4 linked regions of the Arabidopsis thaliana genome follow. The main gene of each other region encodes a partner of the protein of the gene in region 4 in a complex. Each region holds a gene or a part of one and is shown on either strand. Other genes may lie near its edges. The genes, in order: AT5G10960, AT5G11350, AT1G61470 and AT3G58580.

Evidence for each region.
Region 1: AT3G58580 (region 4) and AT5G10960 share a complex: the UniProt entries of both Arabidopsis thaliana proteins name them as parts of the CCR4-NOT complex.
Region 2: AT3G58580 (region 4) and AT5G11350 share a complex: the UniProt entries of both Arabidopsis thaliana proteins name them as parts of the CCR4-NOT complex.
Region 3: AT3G58580 (region 4) and AT1G61470 share a complex: the UniProt entries of both Arabidopsis thaliana proteins name them as parts of the CCR4-NOT complex.

The regions. Positions count from the first base shown.
Region 1 is NC_003076.8:3,462,476-3,466,857, reverse strand, and holds AT5G10960 (Polynucleotidyl transferase, ribonuclease H-like superfamily protein), read right to left. Parts: upstream 2,761-4,382; 5' UTR 2,495-2,760; intron 2,381-2,494; 5' UTR 2,278-2,380; coding exon 1,444-2,277; 3' UTR 544-1,443; downstream 1-543. UniProt on the Arabidopsis thaliana protein: Ubiquitous transcription factor required for a diverse set of processes. It is a component of the CCR4 complex involved in the control of gene expression.
Region 2 is NC_003076.8:3,619,525-3,625,922, reverse strand, and holds AT5G11350 (DNAse I-like superfamily protein), read right to left. Parts: upstream 4,405-6,398; 5' UTR 4,341-4,404; coding exon 4,239-4,340; intron 4,156-4,238; coding exon 3,714-4,155; exon of another isoform or gene 3,707-3,713; coding exon of another isoform or gene 3,646-3,706; coding exon 3,479-3,645; intron 3,331-3,478; coding exon 3,265-3,330; intron 3,131-3,264; coding exon 3,078-3,130; intron 3,005-3,077; coding exon 2,923-3,004; intron 2,846-2,922; coding exon 2,796-2,845; intron 2,642-2,795; coding exon 2,560-2,641; intron 2,347-2,559; coding exon 2,254-2,346; intron 2,168-2,253; coding exon 2,135-2,167; intron 2,049-2,134; coding exon 1,960-2,048; intron 1,818-1,959; coding exon 1,055-1,817; intron 962-1,054; coding exon 876-961; coding exon of another isoform or gene 869-875; intron 761-868; coding exon 676-760; coding exon of another isoform or gene 649-675; intron 586-648; coding exon 511-585; downstream 1-510. Other genes in the region: AT5G11360 (Interleukin-1 receptor-associated kinase 4 protein), read left to right, coding at 1-87; AT5G11340 (Acyl-CoA N-acyltransferases (NAT) superfamily protein), read right to left, coding at 4,855-5,072, 5,411-5,533. UniProt on the Arabidopsis thaliana protein: Acts as a catalytic component of the CCR4-NOT core complex, which in the nucleus seems to be a general transcription factor, and in the cytoplasm the major mRNA deadenylase involved in mRNA turnover.
Region 3 is NC_003070.9:22,676,245-22,679,805, reverse strand, and holds AT1G61470 (Polynucleotidyl transferase, ribonuclease H-like superfamily protein), read right to left. Parts: upstream 1,715-3,561; 5' UTR 1,622-1,714; coding exon 785-1,621; 3' UTR 504-784; downstream 1-503. Other genes in the region: AT1G61475 (ATP binding / protein kinase), read left to right, coding at 1-36; AT1G61460 (G-type lectin S-receptor-like Serine/Threonine-kinase), read left to right, coding at 2,618-3,261, 3,358-3,561. UniProt on the Arabidopsis thaliana protein: Ubiquitous transcription factor required for a diverse set of processes. It is a component of the CCR4 complex involved in the control of gene expression.
Region 4 is NC_003074.8:21,660,077-21,666,009, forward strand, and holds AT3G58580 (DNAse I-like superfamily protein), read right to left. Parts: upstream 4,020-5,933; 5' UTR 3,622-4,019; coding exon 3,464-3,621; intron 3,270-3,463; coding exon 2,522-3,269; intron 2,430-2,521; coding exon 2,343-2,429; intron 2,262-2,342; coding exon 2,178-2,261; intron 2,102-2,177; coding exon 2,015-2,101; intron 1,918-2,014; coding exon 1,831-1,917; intron 1,722-1,830; coding exon 1,668-1,721; intron 1,573-1,667; coding exon 1,481-1,572; intron 1,386-1,480; coding exon 1,271-1,385; intron 1,185-1,270; coding exon 1,034-1,184; intron 939-1,033; coding exon 790-938; 3' UTR 522-789; downstream 1-521. Other genes in the region: AT3G58570 (P-loop containing nucleoside triphosphate hydrolases superfamily protein), read left to right, coding at 1-276. UniProt on the Arabidopsis thaliana protein: Acts as a catalytic component of the CCR4-NOT core complex, which in the nucleus seems to be a general transcription factor, and in the cytoplasm the major mRNA deadenylase involved in mRNA turnover.

The sequences.
Region 1 (4,382 bases), on a different chromosome or scaffold from region 4:
AGACACTAATTAACTCAATTCATATCTGATATGTATATAAATAATTTTGATGCTATTTCGTCCGCACTGTGTTACACATTTTTATTTAAATATGTAACGTTTTTTTGGTTACCTAAAGCAAAGCAATAGCCAATAGTGGTCATTTGATAATAACTAAACCCTAAAACAACAAACATGCCCAAATCAGAATCCCAATTCAACCTTGGTAAAAACGTTCTCCCACCTCTGATCAAAGCCCACACAACAAAGGCCCAAATCAGAATCCCAATTCCCAACACACAAACACACGTGAAGAGACTCAGAGAAGCCGTTAAAGACAGGACTAGCAAGTACACTGTTTCTTCTGTAATAAGAAGTAGATTTGATTCTCTGCCACACCTACATAATAGTGACTCGGACTTTTGCCGTATTGCTGTTGTTTTCTTCTTTTTACTTTATTTCTCGTGTCGTGTTGCTATTGGATCATATGTTTTCGATCATCAAACAAGTTCGTGTAATGAAATATTTAAGGTTTTGAGAAACTTAGATTTAATTATCTTGATGGAAACTGAGTTCATACACAAATCCACATTTTGACATAATACTTCCAACAGGCTGATACTTTTTTTTTTTTCTTCGGCAATTGAATGAGCTACGACGTCTCAATCAGTCAAATCTCGTAATCTTCTGTACCACTTGCGACTCAGATGACGTCTGAATACTTGCCCAACAAAACATTGATTGCATTAGAATGCTACTCATTGACAATATGATAATAAATTGGCTATTGAGGTGATTGGCGAATGCAACAGCATACATATGTGATTCTCCTCCACATTAACCATGACATGATACCACTTACATCATAAACACCTAAATAACAAATCTATACATCAATCGATTACCATAGCTCTGTTTTTTAAACAATGTAACACATATAACCTCTAGCATAAGCAGTTCATTGTTCTCCTTATCAACTTGTATCAACGAAGAGGGAAAGAAGAACACAGGAAGATTCAACATTCTCTTAAGCATAAAACTTACCAGTTTGCATCTTCAAACTGGTATGGTTACAAAGAATTACACAGTAACTGCAAGCTGAGACATGCAAACGCTACTACAAGAAGCCACTGTCAAGTTACATTGGTCACTAGTAAGAAGAAAACACACACAAAAAGAAAAGAGAAGAAAAATTAAAATTGGAGATTATTTATTAAATAAACGGGTAGCTGAATTGATATACATTCAGAAACTCAAGCTAAAACAAAAACCCCTCAAATTTTGATCACAAGGGGTTTTCCTGAAAACAAAGCAACAAAGACACAACAAGTCACTTACTAACACCAATTTGCCAATTTACACAACGACGATTCTATTTTGGTCTTCTCACACTCACAAAGACTAAAGAAATATATCTAATCGCACTTCCCTGGAATTTTCAAAGTATCTTTCATTCCTTTCTTCTTAATTAGCAACAGTAGTAGTAGTACCATCTTCCACACCTAGACCATACAAGACTCCAGTGTATTTCTCAGTTGATCCCGGGAAATAACGTTCCTTGAGCTTCCTAAACGACCCTAAGGTGAGCAAGCTATCCGACCCAGCTTGATGACAAATCCCAACTCTCTCCACTCCCATAAGCTCCGCAAGTCTGTTCAATCCACCAAACAGTCCGTTGCAGAACGTCATCAAGTGCTTGATATCGTAAACCGTAGGGAAATACACATACAGAAGCTTGAAGAAATCAGCTTGCTTGAGAGGCAATTCCTTACAAGTCAACAACTTAACCAAATACCCGAAATCATATCCACCATGGAACGTAACCCACGAGATAGCATCGTTCAAAACAATCCCAGACGACATCATAAGCTCACCAAACCTAACCACATCAATACCTTTCTCAATGTTCTTCTTGAAATCAATCCCACACTGACGCAACAGCTCAATAGACTCACTCGCGTAGATATCCTCACCGATGTTGAACTCACGGAAATTGAATTGCCAGATGCAGAACTTATCCGTCCCACAAGTCGGAAGATTCCCATTCTCATCAGAAAAAGTTAACCCAACTTGAATCAATTTCAACAAATCGACATTTTCCTTGAGAGTCCTGTAGTTAAGATCGTTATTGTACTTGAAAGTAGCAACAGGCTTCAAAACCACACCTGGAAACTCAGTATCCATAGCGATATAGCTGAATTTGTCAACAATCTCACGGATCAACGCGAATTCTTCAACCAAATTGTAATCCCAAACCTCTCGAATCATAATCGAATCTTCTTTCAAAGTCTCCGCCATTTCTAGATATACAACAAACCCAGATCTGAAAACAAAGCATACGTCGGAACTCGGAAATACTGCGAAACTCGTATCGGTAGATCTGTAAACGAAACCTTCCGATCTGAGGAAGAGGCAACAACACCAGGAAAATCAGAAATCGATGTAACAAAAAGCAAACCCTAGCTGTGAAACGAAAATCGAAATGAAACGGAGAGACATGAAAGTATGAAATTACCAGAGGTTTCGCAATACAGATGTAAGAAAAGGAACAGATCTAGCAGATTCGAAGAGAGATCTGTGCGTCTGCGAGAGAGAAATTATCGGGTCAACCAGAGAGAGAGGTTTCAAGTGGTATGGCTTTGGAGAAGATGAAGTGATAAATAAAGACAAGTGTGAGCCTTGAAACGAAGCCGTTTTGTTTGACGATGAAAAGCTTATACGACGACGTTTTGCCGTGCGTCTTCTTACATCAATCATTACGTTTTGGCCAGTTACCAATTATTTTATCCGTATTGTCCGTTTTCTAATTATTTTAATGATGCGAATTGTGTGATATGATGACCAATTTTTATTTATGTGTATCACGGAAATTCCGTTCGTTTGTAACTTCCATGATCTTTTTTTTTTCTTTTGCTTTGTAGACCTACCTCCATTATTCTTAAATTTTATGTATTTTATAGCATTTGGTACTAGAGTTAAATTGTTATACCTTATTATGACGATCGAACTTTATAGTTATAGGAAAAGTTGTATAAACTAAACTGCATTTTGATTTTTGTACAAGTCTAAATTTATATGGTTAAGAAACAGATTGTGCTAATAAACAATCAAAATTATTTATTTTTGCTATGGAGCTAGTCAGCTAGATGATTTGAAGAACCTTAAAACTTCTTTTTCTTACAATTTTAACTCAGTTTTATATCATTTGGTAATAATATTCCTACGGATTGTCTCGCAATTTTATATCACATTTTAATAATTTCTGTACTGATTATCTCACAAAATTGAAAGAATATCAATTTTTTTTTTTGTCGAAAATTTGAAAGAACATAATATTTGATTATTTTCCAGGTAAACTCTTTTATTTCTGTTTTTTTTTCTTCTATGTAAACTCTTCAATTTCGGATTTGTTTCCTATGTAGTTCTGCCAATTAATTGAAAATATGGTATCTTGTTTTTTTTCAACTCAAAAAAAGGATTTTAGATTTATGTTATCTTGTTATTAAGAAGGATTTGTTAGCATAATTGTTAAACAAAACAAAGTAATTTTAATTATAATAGAATTGACTTTGGGATTTCTACCTTACAAGTTACAAGTGGCCAATATTAATGCAATCATACAACGAATGGGAAGACGTTTGATAGAGATACATGCATCACTTGTTACAATCATCTTCGTTCATGAATAGAATCATTTTAGATTTATTTATTTTAGAAAAAAACTTTCAAGTTTCACCAGCGTAATCAGTTTTTCTTCTTAAAATTATTACATGAAAAGATTCTCCAACTCAAACGAGGACCAAAGTTCTTTTTTTTTTTACAAAAAAAGACAACTATTAGGAAGAAAGGGGATAAAGGAATTTTAATTCTAATTATTATTACGGAGTCAAGGCATCATCGTGCTTCCCACTTACCCTCAAGCATAATCCATTGTTTTGTAATAATTAATTCGTTTTTATATAAACTAATGTATTAGCTTGTTTTATATCAAATAATTGTGTACCTTTTTCTATAAATTAAAAAAAATAAACAAGTAATGTCAAGTCACGAAATATTAGATGGTGGTTTCATCATCCGACCATTTTTAGGAAATTTCTTCTGGAATCCAACACATACCAAACATGAAAGTTTCTGCATAATTGTTCTTATATATATAACAAAATTTACTTAATTGTTACCCTCCAAAAATATGTCTCACCGTGTAATTGCTTGCTCATCTAAAATCTAAATAGAATTCTATATTTAAAATCAAAATCGAAAAAAACGAAAATAGAAACTAAAATTGAAATTTTTGTTACTTAAATTAGAAAGAATTATTTAAACAGTTGCATGTATTTAACGTAGATAAATTCTTTAATATCACGTGCACATATAATTTAGATTAGGTAAATCATCTAGTACCA
Region 2 (6,398 bases), on a different chromosome or scaffold from region 4:
AGATGCACCAATCGGGACAAGAAGAAACGACCATTGATGCAAGAAGTTTTGGATGCTCTGAATTATATTGCAGGGATTAGGTCCTAATGTGAGATGTCCTTATATTGGACACAGGGACATGGATAAATGCTAGGTGTTTATTTGTAATAATTGAAAGAGTCAGTCTAGACTAAAGCTGAAAGAGTTAGGGGTTAACAATTGAAGCTATTTAAAATCAAGAAGCATGCTTTAAACTTTTATAGCAGATTTTCTGAAATCGAGTGTCGCCCAAAAAGAAAAACTCAAATATAATTTGTCACTGTAAAATATGATAGAGAAAAATACAAAACTAGAGCCTATGAGATTCTGTAAAAGTTTACTCTTAGATGTTTTGCTGGGATATAAAATAAGCTATTGGCGACCTTCAGAGCACAAACATTGCAACAAGGATGTGCTTTGAACCCAAGACCTCAACCATCTAATCTCTTTACACTTTCTTAGATTTCTAATGAACTCACCACCAGTTTAATATCAGCTTTTGGGCAGAGTTTTGCTGCTGCAGAAGGCCAACTCTGAAACCAGTGCAATGTGATCGCTTCCCCATTTCTGTAACAAACCAGAAATACAAACATAAAAAAGTTTTGTAAACAATTCAGTTAAAAAGGTAGGCTATATAAGAATATCATGGGATTTTACAGGAGTCGGGAAGCCTGGAGTCCACTGCATTGCTTGCTTTGGTATTGGAGCAAGCACACGCACTGTTTGAAGACCTTCCGACCGCCTAACCCAAACCAGAAATCAAACATGAGAATATGTCAAAACGCGCATAATTTACAATAATGAAGTAATCTAATTTTAAGGTTTGTCACAAATGGTTTTGCTTCTAATGCTAATACCATATGTAGTCAACTGTCCCCATGAAACATCTGTGATAACTGGTCACTACAGGTTCTCCGTTTTCATCCCTTGTGTTTGCTTGACCCTAACCACAAATTTCAACAGCTTCCTAAGGATATAATTTCTCAAGAAACAGAAGATAAAAGGGAAAAACTGTAGGGAGGATATATTACAATACCTCCACTTCTGAGTATGTGCTTTTAAGCTCCAGAGCATGTTCAACCGTAGTTCTCTCTGGGTCACCAGTTGCAGTTGCTATCTCCATTGGAGTCCAAGAGGATGGACTATAAGTGATTTTGTCACTATTTAAAGCTTCAGAACTCCATTTAAGTGGAACTTCACTCACAAGTTCCCCTTTTTGACTCAAGTTTTCATTGTTATCGTGTAGCTTAGCCAAAAAGGTTTCCCCATCTTCACCTAAACTTTCTTCATCTTGCGCGAATACTACTGGTTCGTCCAATTTTAAGCCATCTAGTTTCATTTCAGCCACAAAAGTGTCAACCTTGGTGGAGAGACTAGATGAAATATCTTGATCACTGGAACATATTTCCTCAGGAGTTTGCTCTGTTTCTGATAAACCGGAACTTACAGAACGATCTGTATTCAAATCTTCTCTAGCACTGGAAGCATGTTGAGGTTCTGTATCTGATATGGTTAGTGAAGAAAGATCTTCAGCTGTCGAGAGATTCCCGGAATCATCAGGTTTTCTGTTTTCTATTCCAAACTGACAATCTGAGGCCATATTCTCGCATGGTAATACTTGGTCAGAGCTGGAGGTGGCTTCGTGACCAGCAAGAATTGTATCACCACATGGAAGCTCAGATGTCTTCTCGGAGGGGGCCGTTCCAACATCTATGTTGGAGTTATTCTCCATATGAGCATTTGTGATCAAATTTGGTGGTTGAACTTGACCTTGTGGAGATTTGTTGGCGGACTGATACCTGGAAAATTGAGGAGGCCTATCAACCATGCTGACAATTGCAAAAGCAGAGTAGAACCCGATATTCTAGGGTAGACATGGAGGTGTTAAGTTGCATAACCATATACTTAATGATGTCGAAGAACTTGGTGAGTTTGCTCTACCTCGTTGTATAATTTTCTGGCCTTGGTGGACGAAACTCAGCAGAAACTTGCCCCGAAACTTTGTCTCTGGCCAAACCAGACAAATCCAACTGCAGAGAGCAGCACAAGACACAATGTGAACCATATATATAATGTTGCGAATAGGTGAAGGACTTTCCTAACAATGAAGCTTTACCTTCCGGTCTGAAATAAAGTTGTACAAAGGACTCTGCAACCAGGTGGAAGAATGTTATGACCATGTCACAAAACAAGTTTTTTGGGGTATACAAACTGGTTAAGGTAAGATTGTCCTACCTTTGGTGTACAATTGAAATCCCCACAAAGAACAATAGGCGCATCATCCCAGAGTTTTGAAACAGCATGAGCTTTATCTAAGAGTGTTCTGACCTACGTAACAGAGATAAATACATAGATGATAAATGGAAACAGTTAAAGAAACCAAGTTAAGCAAGGGGCGAAGCGTTTGGTTTCAAAAGTTTTATCTCAAACACCTAACACTTATACATGTTCATAGCGTATAGACAGAGTTAAACCAGAGAGTAAAACTGTCGTTTGGCAAAAGATTTCTACAAACTAGAATATGGCATTAAAGGAAAGTACCTGACCAAGTTTAAAGTCTCCTCTTTTAGGATTAAAAAGCACGTGAATGTTACAAATGACAACTCGATGGGAACCAGCAGAGCTGTAAAAGAAATTGGTAATTCACTTCAACCCACCCACAAAGTATAGTCCATACAGAAAACCACTGAAATCTGAAGAAAATCGGCCACTTCCTAGTGAAATTATCCACCCATAAAATGATATGATAGTAACATTTACAGATACTTTTAAGTTACCTTTCAGGTGGAGGGGTCTCATTTTCTTTTGTATGTGAAGTCAACAATGTCTACACAGAGCAAATTTAATTTAGGGCAAAGAGGCAAATGTATATAAGTCACTATCAACATAAGGTATCCATATTACCTCAAGCACACATATTTGAGCAACGTTATCTCGGAGACCAAGTTGATTGAACTGGATGCTTTCCTCGTGAACCAACTTGAATCTAATATGATAACAATGAAATCCTAAACAAGATTCCAGACTGATCCACACAAGGAAGAGCAAGGGAATCAAACCTATTGGATCGCCAAAATATTGCACATCCGTCAACAGCATTACCAGTCCGCATCTACAGTTTTATAAAATAGAGTTAACCCCACATTTGAAGCCTAGTTCTTATGATGCATACCATTTAATCTTTACTCCAAGAGAGTCCGTAGAGAATACAAACTCAAGACAACTAAAAGTTTTCAACAAACCTACCTTCCAAATAGCACTATATCCCCGGTGCTTCATCTCCTCCTCTAAGTCCTGAAATTTATCAACTTCCTGACATATACAAAATAATTTTAGATTACTATACATATGGAAGATACATTCTGTATACATATGATAAAAAAATAGTAAAGCAAGAAAGTTTTGTCTCCTTAGTCCCTCATACAAGCAATTACCAAGAAGATATAGCAGAAACTATAACCTGAAGGCACATTATATCTGCAGACCATAGGCTAAGCTCGAACACTAATTTGCTCTTTCTCCATCCCCAACTCAACATATTCCTCGGTATGTGAAAGTAAAGACTTCTCCAGTGATCATTTGCAAGGTAATCCGCCAATATATTATACGATAAAACAACAAACTTTTCTGTAGACAAGAGAAAGCAAATCAAAAATTGTATACCGGAGCAAATGAGATGGTCACGCATAAATTACCGGAGCCAGGAGACGGTGGCGTTTTGGCATATTCCCATTCACGGTAATCTGAAGGTTTTGACCGTGGCCGTTGACGAAAGCTCTGCTGTGGAGGCGGCCGGGACATCTGGTTTTGATAGAACGGAGGGGGAGGGCAAGCCGCGTAGTTTTGATTAGACGGAAACTGATTAGGTTGACGGAATTGTTGCCACTGACCTCGTGACGGCGGCGGAGGTCGAAATTCGTAATTCTGATTGAACGGTGGTTGCTGCCGCTGATCAAGCGGAGGCTGATGTTGTCGATAAGGTTCACCATGCCGGAATCGGAAATTGGCGTCATGAACTGATTGAAAATGAGAATCTCCAGTAACGAACTGATCTCTTCCCGCGTCATCATTGTACGGACGATCGGAGAAACTTCTCCCACCTCGGCCTCGTCCTCGTCCTCGGGCACCTCTGTACTGCTTCGTAAGAAACAAATTATATTCCAGTAACCGAAGCAACGCAGCGGGAGTGATAGAACAAGAGAATAGCTGAGAAAATTTACCGGAGCACGAGTAGACATGGTGAAGATTGGAGCAGAGATAGTGGAGGCGTCAGCGAAGGTAACGTCGGAGAAAACTTGAGCAACAAAACGAGAACGCCGCATTGGTCAATCGAATTGAGTGAGGAAGCTCGAGGAACCGGTGCTTAATTGCAGACACCGATGAACGGAGACTCATAAGACGTGCCGTTTTTTGATTCAAGAAGAACACATCTTCCAGTCTTCACTGTGAATAAATGGCACGCAAGCCAAAACGCAAGTCATAAATTCTTCATTTTTTTCTTTACTTTATTCTACAGCTCATAACAAGAATCATTGTCTCTCTTTACTCAAATTCATAGACCAACATTTACAAACACGATGATACTTGGTAGTAAAGCTTTGAGTTGCAAAGTTAAAAACTTTTCCAAACGAAAATGTCCAAAGCCAAGAGGACATTAGAGAAATCATGCAAGTATATAACCAGGAATTTATAAATTTAGAATCAGTAAGAAAAATTAAGGTCAACAAAACAAGCAAAACTCGGAAACCGAAGGATCATCATAACATTAATAGATCTTGAACTGAATGCAACAAAGAAACTGGGGAGGAATGGCTTCCCCAAGTTTGGTATTTTTCATCATTTGTTGGCTTCAGATTGAGCAAAGGACTTGCTGACAACGTAGCAATCTCTTGGCTCAATGTTGATGTAATAGTTTTGTATGGTATCTGTGATCTCAAAGCCGAACTTCTTGTAGAACTTGATTGCGTCTTCGTTGTTTGTCTGCACATGCAAGTATATCTCACACATGTTTTGCTTGGAGCACATGTCAAGAACATGATTCAATAGATTTGAGCCTGCAAAAGACGAAAAAAACAAGATACACAAATTATAGACATCGAGTTTTTCTTTCTAAAGCAGGGAATTCGATCTTAAATCTTGATATAGGAGGAATCATAATTCCAGTTTCTCGGTAAAACAACGATATGCATAAAACCCTAAGGACTATTTCTTGGTGGTTTGAATCTCTAAATGGAGACACTTCAAATAGAGAACTACAGAATAAACATACTACAGCTGGCCTCATGTGTTAAAACGTAAGGAAAACAACAGAATTACACAACATGCTAACAGTTTTCTTCATTATTCATGTTTTGTCGGTATTCAAGTTTTGCACAGCAGATTTATGACTTACCAATGCCAATCCCACGGTAGGGTGCAAGAACACCAAGCGTCATTATATAAACTCGCATGGCCCCACTTTCTTTCTTCTCCAGCCGACAGGCGATAGCTCCAACACATATGTCATTGTAATATGCTGAGAGGAAGTCAATCCATTATTAGAACATGAAGAATTTTCCTTGATCACAAATTAGAGAAAATATATGTAACACCAAGAACATAACTACCCAAGCAACTGCAATGAAATAGTTAGTACCAAATTTAAGACGTTGTTAACAGTCTTTAGACTTTCATAATCACATCTTATTGTACATTTAAAGAACTAGTTGACGCAAAAGATGTTCCAACCAAGGGTTTCACAAAAGTGAGCTTGAAAAAATTCTGTGAATACGAAAATTAGTCTTGGACCATGTTCTCGAAAGATAATATAAGTCAATCAGCGATAGATTACAAGGTACACATGCTTAACATACAAAAAATTTTGCTTGGTTGAACAAAAGAATGCAGTATTCATATAGTCAAACAACTTAAAACAACGATCAAGATGATACTTTGTCAACATCAATGTCATCAACCACAAAGTTCAAACATGAATCGGTAATTACGAAACAACAGACAATAGAAAGCAAACAAAATCGATCCATTCAAGGCTTAGAAAGAAGGCTTCTACCAATATTACCGATAAAATCATCTTCTTCCTAGTATCAGACACTAGTACTGAACCTAAATAAAACATGGCTCAGTCAAATAAATTCACGGAACCGAACAAAAGAGAAGACACAGATAATCACACCTATTACAATGACCAGTGAACCAACTAAACAAACAACCAAAGGAAAGCAGGATTGCAAAAGGTACTTTCTTTGTAGAGTATACCAAGCCTAATCACAGAACAGTTCATCATAAACCCCCCAAAGCAAACTTTTCCTATTAAAGGAACAAACTCGACTACTAATGCTCGCTCAGGTAAAAAGACAGAAATCTGAGAGCAAAAATACCAA
Region 3 (3,561 bases), on a different chromosome or scaffold from region 4:
AATGAGATGACCCATTCTATGATCCTAGGGCGGTAAGAGATTATGTGATGAAACCTGTAGAGTGAATGTGTGTTTGATTGTTCACGAAAGGAATCAGTTTTCGAATGTATATAACTTAACCTTTCATGCTTTTTGTAAAAGATTTTTCACTTAAGTAAATAGAGAAAATTACTATAGATGAGCTTCCAATTTGGTTGACCAATGATTTACTATAGAGTTTGCATTTCCAGTTGTTCTCCAGCAGAATTGTCTAATCTTGTGAGGAGCTTATCTGCAGAGCCAAATGAGCTCATAATTTTGGGTTTCCATTGGTTAGATACTATCATATCCTCATAGTATAAAAGTAGAATTAGTCAATGCCTTAAATCTAAATAAGGGAGCCATGATTGAATTTGCACGTATTAAAAGTGAAGAAGAAACTCAAGTCCACAGGAGAAAAGTGTGACACTCCAACCAAAACAACTCATAATTGGTACTAACAAAATATTTCACATAGATTCCAAATTTTGATTAGTGTATAGCGAAAAAGGAAAAAACTGGGCTTGTTACATATCTTCAGCTCAATTCGGAGGAAACTGATAGATAGTAATTCCAAGACAAAGATGTTACATGAGAGGCTTTTGAGTAGATTCTAACTTTAGATTCATTAAAGTATTTACTAAAGAGCAATAGTCATAATATTGAGAGAATTGTTTTGATGGACAATAAAAGCTGAAAGTTAAATCCTAAGCATATAAAGAAAGAATTTGCATACTAGCAACAAGACATGCTAAACATTGAGGGATCACAATACGTAGTTCCTTCCTTGGACCGGTATCGGGATGTAACATCTAGTCATCATAAGCTGTTGCTGATGCTGCTGCTGCTCTAGTTGATATTGCTGATCATCAGCTCTTCTTCCAGTACTCTCCTTTCTACTATTGACCAAATCGAAAATCAACTTAGTGAAGACACGAGCCGTCAATTCGCTGTCTGATCCAGCGTGATGAGCTTTTCCAACACGCCTCATCTGCAACACATCCGCTATTCTCTGTAGTCCGAAACGGCTACTTAGTCCGCTGCATAATCCAGCCATTTTCTTCACATCATAAACAAACCTTCCCAAAAGCTGCTGGACGGTTTCATCAAACTCTTTCGAAGTCTCGGGTAATGGTTTTCTAGTTAAACCTTTAAGTAGATAAGCTTTGTCGTAAGAGCCTTGAAAAGTCACCCATCTCATTTTTCCATGTTTCTCATTGAGAATCTGAGAAAACTCCATGAAGAACTCTTCGATTCCAATACCTTCTTCTCTGATCTTATCCAGATCCAAACCATTGTTTTTTAAAAACGCTATAGATTTATCATTTTTCAAGCTCTTAGATTCGTTGAAATCTGACAAGTTGATCTCCCAGGTTTTAGTGATTCCTTTGCCGAATAGCGTTAACCCTAACTGGATGAGATGGGTGTTGTCCACATTGAATTTCATGTCTCTATAACGAATTTCATCACTTGCGTCCATGGGAGTCTCCTTTAAGCATCCGGGAAACTCTGTGTCGATAGCGATGGAATTACAATGTTTCAAACAATCTCTTATCGAATTCATCTCTGCTTGCTTGTTCCATCTCCAAACTTCACCGCTCATCTCGAACGAAACTAAGAAACTGTTTGTTTATCTGAAAGAGAAAGTGAGATAACAAATGAATTTTATTTGGTTGGCGTTATATTATTAGAGAATTTATAGGGATTAGATTAAGACACCGACTTCAGTTTCCTTATTTTTAGGATACTATAAAGTTTTCATTTTTTTTCCATCAAAAGTTCGTGTTGACTTTTTTGACTCCTAATTCTTGTTAAACACGAGTTTTCAATTTTTCTCTTAAAATTCAAAAACAAAAAAACGCGTGGTTCCGAAGCGGTTTTCAATTTTTAACACTAAACCGAATTAAATTCCTTGCCCGAACCGAATTAAATTCTAATTTCTCTCTCAAAACTCAAAAGCCTTGTTTCCGAAGCGGTTTACGATTTCAACGCTAAACCGAATTAAATTCCTATTACAAATTAAAGTCTAATTTTCCATCCCGAAATACACGAAATTGACAAAAGACTTTATTTTAAGTCTTCCCGGAAGGTTCTTCTCTGGGTTAGTGGCTTGACGACACAAGTCAAGCAACCTGTCATACACTGACACAAGTCAATCTTGACTGTTGAATTATTCGGCTGCTTTTGGATAGTGACAGTTAAGCCCATATGGTTGGAGTACGAATCAATCGATTGGGGTCATTAAGGTCTTCAAGACATCACCGAAGCTCTGACTTTTTGTTATGCACTGCAAGTGTTCGAGGAAATGCCTAAACGAGATAATTCATAGTCTGCAGTTCAAGAAAAATATAGGTTCTTCTGGGCCTAACAAGCTAGTAAGGACTGGAACAATGAAAACGTTGCGTATCTGATACGGTAATGACTTCTTCGTGCCAATGTATCTATCATGTATTTATTAAATAATGCATATTTTTGGAAAATAAGTAAAGTAGTTCTGACAAGACACAGTGTTTTTTTTTTCCCCGGCTCTCTTGCTTCATACACACTAATCCAAAAAAGATAGTTATTGGAGAAAGAAAAAAACAAACAAACGGGGACGATGAGGATCACGTTCTTTGCTTCTTTGCTCTTATTTACCAATACCATCTTTATAAGTTTTAGCTTTGCAATTGCAGGGATAAACAAAGAGAGTCCTTTGTCAATAGGACAAACTCTCAGCTCCTCTAATGGAGTTTATGAATTGGGTTTCTTCAGTTTTAATAACTCGGAAAATCATTATCTTGGAATCTGGTTCAAGGGAATCATTCCCCGGGTGGTTGTGTGGGTGGCCAATAGAGAAAATCCTGTTACAGATTCCACAGCAAATCTCGCTATCAGCAGCAACGCAAGTCTTCTGTTATATAATGGAAAACATGGCGTTGCATGGTCCAGTGGTGAAACTCTTGCTTCTAACGGGTCTCGTGCAGAGCTTTCAGACACCGGAAATCTTATTGTCATAGACAATTTTTCGGGAAGAACTCTTTGGCAAAGCTTTGACCATCTTGGTGATACTATGCTTCCTTTCTCAGCTCTGATGTATAACCTCGCCACTGGCGAGAAGCAGGTCTTGACTTCTTGGAAAAGTTACACTAATCCAGCGGTTGGTGACTTTGTGCTTCAGATTACAACGCAAGTGCCAACACAAGCTTTAACTATGAGAGGCTCGAAGCCTTATTGGAGAAGCGGTCCATGGGCTAAAACAAGGTTCACGGGGGTACCACTAATGGATGATTCATTTACAAATCCATTAAGCCTTTAGCAAGATGCAAACGGGTCAGGATCCCTTACTTATTTAAACAGAAACTTCAAACTTCCACGTATAGTGATAACATCGAAGGGTTCACTGGAGATTTCTAGGCATAGTGGGACTGATTGGGTATTGAACTTTGTGGCTCCAGCGCACTCATGTGATTATTACGGTGTATGTGGACCTTTTGGGATTTGTGTCAAGTCAGTGTGTAAATGCTTCAAAGGGTTTATACCAAAATATATTGAGGAGTGGAA
Region 4 (5,933 bases):
TTTGGTGGTCGTGACTTCAGGAGAGAATCTTTTAGTCGAGGCGGTGGTGGTGCTGACTACTATGGTGGAGGTGGTGGATATGGAGGCGTTCCTGGTGGTGGCTATGGAGCAATGCCTGGTGGGTACGGACCCGTACCAGGTGGTGGATATGGAAATGTTCCGGGTGGTGGTTATGCACCTTATGGTAGAGGTGGTGGTGCTTACTATGGTCCTGGAGGATATGGAACCGTTCCTAACCAAGGGTATGGTCCTGGAGTGGCTAGTGCGTGGGACTAAGCTTTAACTTCAATTCTTCAAGAACCGATTATGTTCTCTTTCTCTCTCACTTATCTCTATTGTTTATTATTAGGGAGCAGCCACAGATGTGTATGTTTGCTCTTTAAATGGTTATGTAGTAGACACGAATCGTCTCTTTGTTCAATGTGAAAAAAGAAAACCCCCTAGTAGACCCATATTATTCTCATGAGCTATTTAGTCATACAAAGCAGTTCAAACATTAAAATTGATCCAAGGAAAAGAAAAGTCAAAGGGTTTTCACTATATTGAGGATCAAAATGAGATATAAAAGGAGGTTTAGACAGAGCCACACAGGGGTCATAATAAAGAATGACCAACTTCATAGAGTGGTTTGCCTTACTCAGAATCCCTTTGAATCTTTGTGTCATCTCTATCACAGATTTGGTAAAGGTTTCGTCTAAACAGTTGATGTCATAGTCTGATCAAAGAAGAAGATCGGAACAAAAAAAAAAAACCTATCTGTAAGCAAATGATGGTGGGTGGTGAAGGCGGTTAACCGCGTCTTGTCCTAGGCGTGCATCGAAATTCAGCTAAGAGAGCAATGTGATTAGAAGACCATTCTGGGGAAGGAAGAGCTGTGTCTTTTCTTAATCCATCTTCATCCAGTAATTCCAATAGAGATTCCACCATTAATGTATCCGCTGAAACCCAAACACAAAAAAATCTTCCAATTAAGTTAACTTGTTATTTCTGATGTAGTTGAAAACAAGGACAATGGAGTTAAAAATGGTGAAACCTGTGTAGAATATGTAGTCATGAGTGCCGATGAAGTCCCTTGTACAATTGGTAAACAAAGGCTCGTTTGTATTAAGATCTATTCTCCTTCTGTGTTGTTCCAATCCAAGACCCATTATTCCCTTTCTCACAAACGATGAGTACGCGCTCACCTGAAACCAATTCATTTATCAAATATCCAAGAGAGACGCAAAGATAAGCGGTATAAATTTACTTAAATCGAAAAAAGCAATGTTACCAGAGGCAATTGATGAGTCAATTTGGTGTGAGGACGCAGGATATTAAGGGGATCGACTGCCAGATCTGGGTGCATTGGATCAACCTTTCCCATTACAAGAAGTGTATGAGGTGCACTGTCATAAAAATGCCAAAAAGAAAAACTTTAGCTACTCATAAGAGAATTCTGCATTTCATGTATCATGTCAAAAGAATTTATGAATCAACAAACCTCCCAGGAAGCGTATTGAAGTCTCCACACACAAGCATAGGAATATCGGCACTAGCTGCTATTTTCTCTAGTCCCTTTAATAAGGTATGAACCTAAACGCAAAAGAATAAAAGAAAACATGAGGTGAATACTAATTCTTTCGAGTTCAATGAAATTTGATTTATTTCGGATATAGAGATACACCAACCTGCCAGAGCTTCACATCCTTCAGATCTTGTTGAACATTTACATGTGTGTTTGCCTAAACAAGTTGCCACAACAAAATAAGAAAATTCATTGGCTTTCACTAAAAGAGCATATACAGAAACTAACAGTTCTCATGAGAATGGAAAAAAAAAAAGAACCAGTACCACACAAATAAGCTGGCGCTTCCCAGAAGGATCAGTAGGTTGATTACCAAATTTGGCTTCAAGAACAACTATCAACGCAATGTTATCCTACAACATAAGAATCATTGGTTTCAGTTTTGTAAACAATAACTCTCTGATAATCAGCTGTGGCCCAGAAAAATATTGTATACCATGTCAAAAATACCTTAACCAGTCGGTTTAAAGCAGTTCTCTTCTGAGCCTGAGGGATTAGAGCGTCAGTCAAAGACTGAGCAGCCTTGTTGAATTCAACCTGGATTTACAGTCCATGAATTAGTATAGAGATCTTACTGGATCTAGCAAGTAAACATATAGAACTGAATACAAACATCATATTTCTTGACATGCGAAAACCTATCCCGCCGGAAAAATGTTGCACAGCCGTCAATGGCACTTGTACTTCCGCTGAGAACCTAGCAACAAGAAATTTGTGGTTAATAGATTTTAAAACATAAATCACTGAAGGAAGGAGTGTGTGGAATCATTGACCAAACCTCATTAGTCTTCCTCTTGTAAAGAGCTTGATACCCATGCTTATCCAACTCAGGAGCAAAAATTTCATGGAAATGATCACTTTGTACCTGCCAGATAACAAAAAAAAGAACACATTAGAAGTAGATTTTTCAGAATTAAAATGCTTTAAATCATTACCAAGTCCATACGAATAACATACTTCTTGCAGGCAAACTACATCGGCTCTATATCCAACAATCTCCCTTAACAAATTCTGTCTTCGGTATGGCCATGAAAGAGCCCAAGGAGGACAGTAACTGTAGAGGTCGCTACTTGCAGAAGTATCAGACAAAATGTTATATGAAAGAACAGTGAATGATCCTGCAGACTGAATCCGAGCATCTTGATCTAAGTGACCCATCCCATCAGCTCCGTTAACAGGGATTAGCTTACGGGGGCTTGGAGAAGGAGCAGGAATAACCCGTGAAGTCAAAATGGTACTAGGATGTCCGACAATCTGTTTAGTCTCAGCATTAGCCACAACACACTCGAACTTCAAAACGTGGCTAATATCATCAGCTGTTGGAGTGTACGTTTTGCAACCCCCAACCTCAACTAAAGTCTCTCCTCCATTTTTCTGAGTAATATTAGAAGGATAAAACGGAGCTGGACCATTGTTGGCAATACTAAGATTTGACATAGACCCAGATAAGGAACCAGCGAGAGACCCAGAACCCGCACTGTTATTCCTGTTCAAGTCATCATCCTCGTTTGCGTTGTTTTCCGCAGCTGCTCGCTCGTGCAAAGTCCTGTGATGCTGCCACGCATCCGTGAAGCATTTTGGCGAACAGTGATAGCTTTTTGGAACAAGGGATCTACGCTTAGAACAGAAAACACACTGTAAAGTAGCTTGTTCCGTTGGATGCACACTGCAAATCGTTACTTTCTTATCACTCTGTACACGATACCTACAACAAATAAATCCAAAAAATGAATCTACAACAAGATCAGAACTTTACACACAAAAACCATTTGACGACCTAAATCAGAACATCTACATGAGAAATCTCTGAATTCAGATCAAAATTCAATCTTTGATAAACCCCAATTCGCCAAATGATCCAAGAAAGCAATTAGACAAAGAGCCAATCAGAAATCTAACCATCTGTATCTCAAGAAGTAGCCTTCAAGAGGAGCAGATTCAGGGACGTCATCAGTGGTGGAGTTCTTATCGGGACGACGAACAAGGACGTAAGGAGTCAATTCACAGCCCACAATGGGAATTTCAGAAGGAAGATGCACTCGGATCACGCTCAGCATTGCTTTTCAATAACACCTGGTGATTGTCGAAGAACACTATCGAAGCAGCAGCAGCAGAGATTCAGAATCGAAGCAAGACCTTGATGATGATTATTAGATGATGAATATTGTCGTTGATAACCTAATGAAGTGGAGCGTACGATAGGCTGATCCACCATTTACTTGAACCGAAAACCCGACCAATCTCTAGAAACCCTAGAAAATGTCTTCTTCAGACAAGGTTGAAGATCCGGCAGAACCAAATTAGAATCGAAGAAAAGAAAAAAAGAAAGGAAAATGATGGTATCGAGAAAGCTTATAAGAGATGTGAGATCTTGAAGGAATTTTGTATTAAGGATCGATTCTTTCGCTGTGAATATGGAAAAAATCAATGAAATCGATTTTGGTTTTTTTATGTGTTTTTTTTCCCCGAGTGGGTTTAATACTAAAACTATTATTTTGTGCTTTGAAGACATTATTATGAAATTTTATAATATTTTAATTGATCTTCCTTTTCGATGAAAATTTTGGTTTTGGCGCTCAAAGATTGAAAGTTTTTCGTTTTATTTTTGTTTATATAAAGATAAAATTTTAAAATCTAGAAAATGCGTAAAAACAAATAATCCACAACTAAACATGACTTACCAAAGACAAATCAAGATTTATGACTCGTACCATTACGAAAACAAGATTGGTGACTTAAAAGAAGTGTATTTATATCTATGATAGATTGAAGAAAGAAGGAATGGTGAAGATGAGTCAATAGGTGAGTGTTCAACGCACATTCAGTAGGAGCCAGGAGGTGTAGTTTCTTCGTTAAGATTAAGAGACAAGAAATATCAATTCGTGATATAATTATCTTGAAGACGATTTGTTGCAGATTAAGGTAGAATTAACTTCTTCTTCTTTTTTGTTTTTTTTTTAAAATGTGAGAATTACCCAAGAAGAGCAGCATAGTTTATCAATTCAATTGATCTTCTTAAGAATTGTTGAATTTGTCAAATTAATGAAAGAATCACATTTTAACATTGTCAAAATTGTCATGTTCATTTTCGCTTTTGTTTTCGTTTTAGCTAGTTCATTTGGTTTTCATAAATATAAGCGGTTCAAACCTGAAATAATTAAGGTTCGAATTATGAAAATTTTGTTGGTTTTTAATAAATTTAGGTAGACTAAATTTCATTCTTTTCAGGTTTACTCAATTTTAAAGTATAGAAATTTAAGATTTATATCTAACTTTTGTTGTATTTGATATGAAAAGTTATCGGTTTGTATTTTACCGAATTTAGATAACTATTTACAAATTATTATTTTGAACTAATTATAGAAAACAAATACAATGCGTGTCCAGTAAATCAAAGTTGAGAGATTTCTTTCTCGTTTTTAAGCATTCAACACAATTTTTTCTATTTGTTATTTCGGAGGCCTGAGTCCACATTTTATATGAAGCATAACATGGAAAATAATAATAATTATTATTTTTCGAAAGCGATCTTTTCCAAACAAAGAAGCCTCAAACACTATATACGCTACAAAATAACATCTCGACCTTGTAACAAAGAATGCATTAGATATTTTTTTTTTTAATCAAAATTGTTGAGATGAGCAAAAGCACAGAACGTATTCAACTTTTCAAAAGGGTTGTGGCAGCTGAATATTATTTGTTCTATGATGGTAACTAACAATTTGTTTATTTTTTGTTCTTTATAGTGAAATCTTTTGATTTGATTTTTCTTTTTGTTGTTGTTAGTTTTGTTGGAAGCCGTCAAAGACATACAAAAATTGAAAGTTGATCTAACGATAGAAGAGAAGAAATGCTTAGAAATGGTAAATGAGAATCTATTTAACGAGACAGTAAAGATACTAAAACCGCTCGAAGATATGGGTATGAGGTCTGAAGAAACAATCATTATAGATGATAATCAAAAGATGATTAAAGAGTATTTGGAGGACACCTTCATAGTTTGTCATAAAATATGTAAGGAGATTCAAAAGTTGGGTATTTGCCCTTTGTGAGTTAAGTACTCTTATCGTCCTTTTTCTCTAGAGATTTGGAGGGTTTTTCAATATGAATTAGATATGTAAACCAATATTATTCAAACATGAGGTATAATCTAAAAAATGTGAAAGGAAAGATGGAAGGGATGAGGAGAGCAACCTTTTTTATTAATGATAAAATTTCATTGGAAATGATAAACAAATTAAATTATGGAATAAAAATAAAATTATTCAAAAAAAAAAAGTTGAGTTGATTTTGGTTCATTTAGAAAACCATAATATTAATTCGATTTTCTTTTGTTAAATATGGGCCAATTTGAAAGATCTTATTTGTA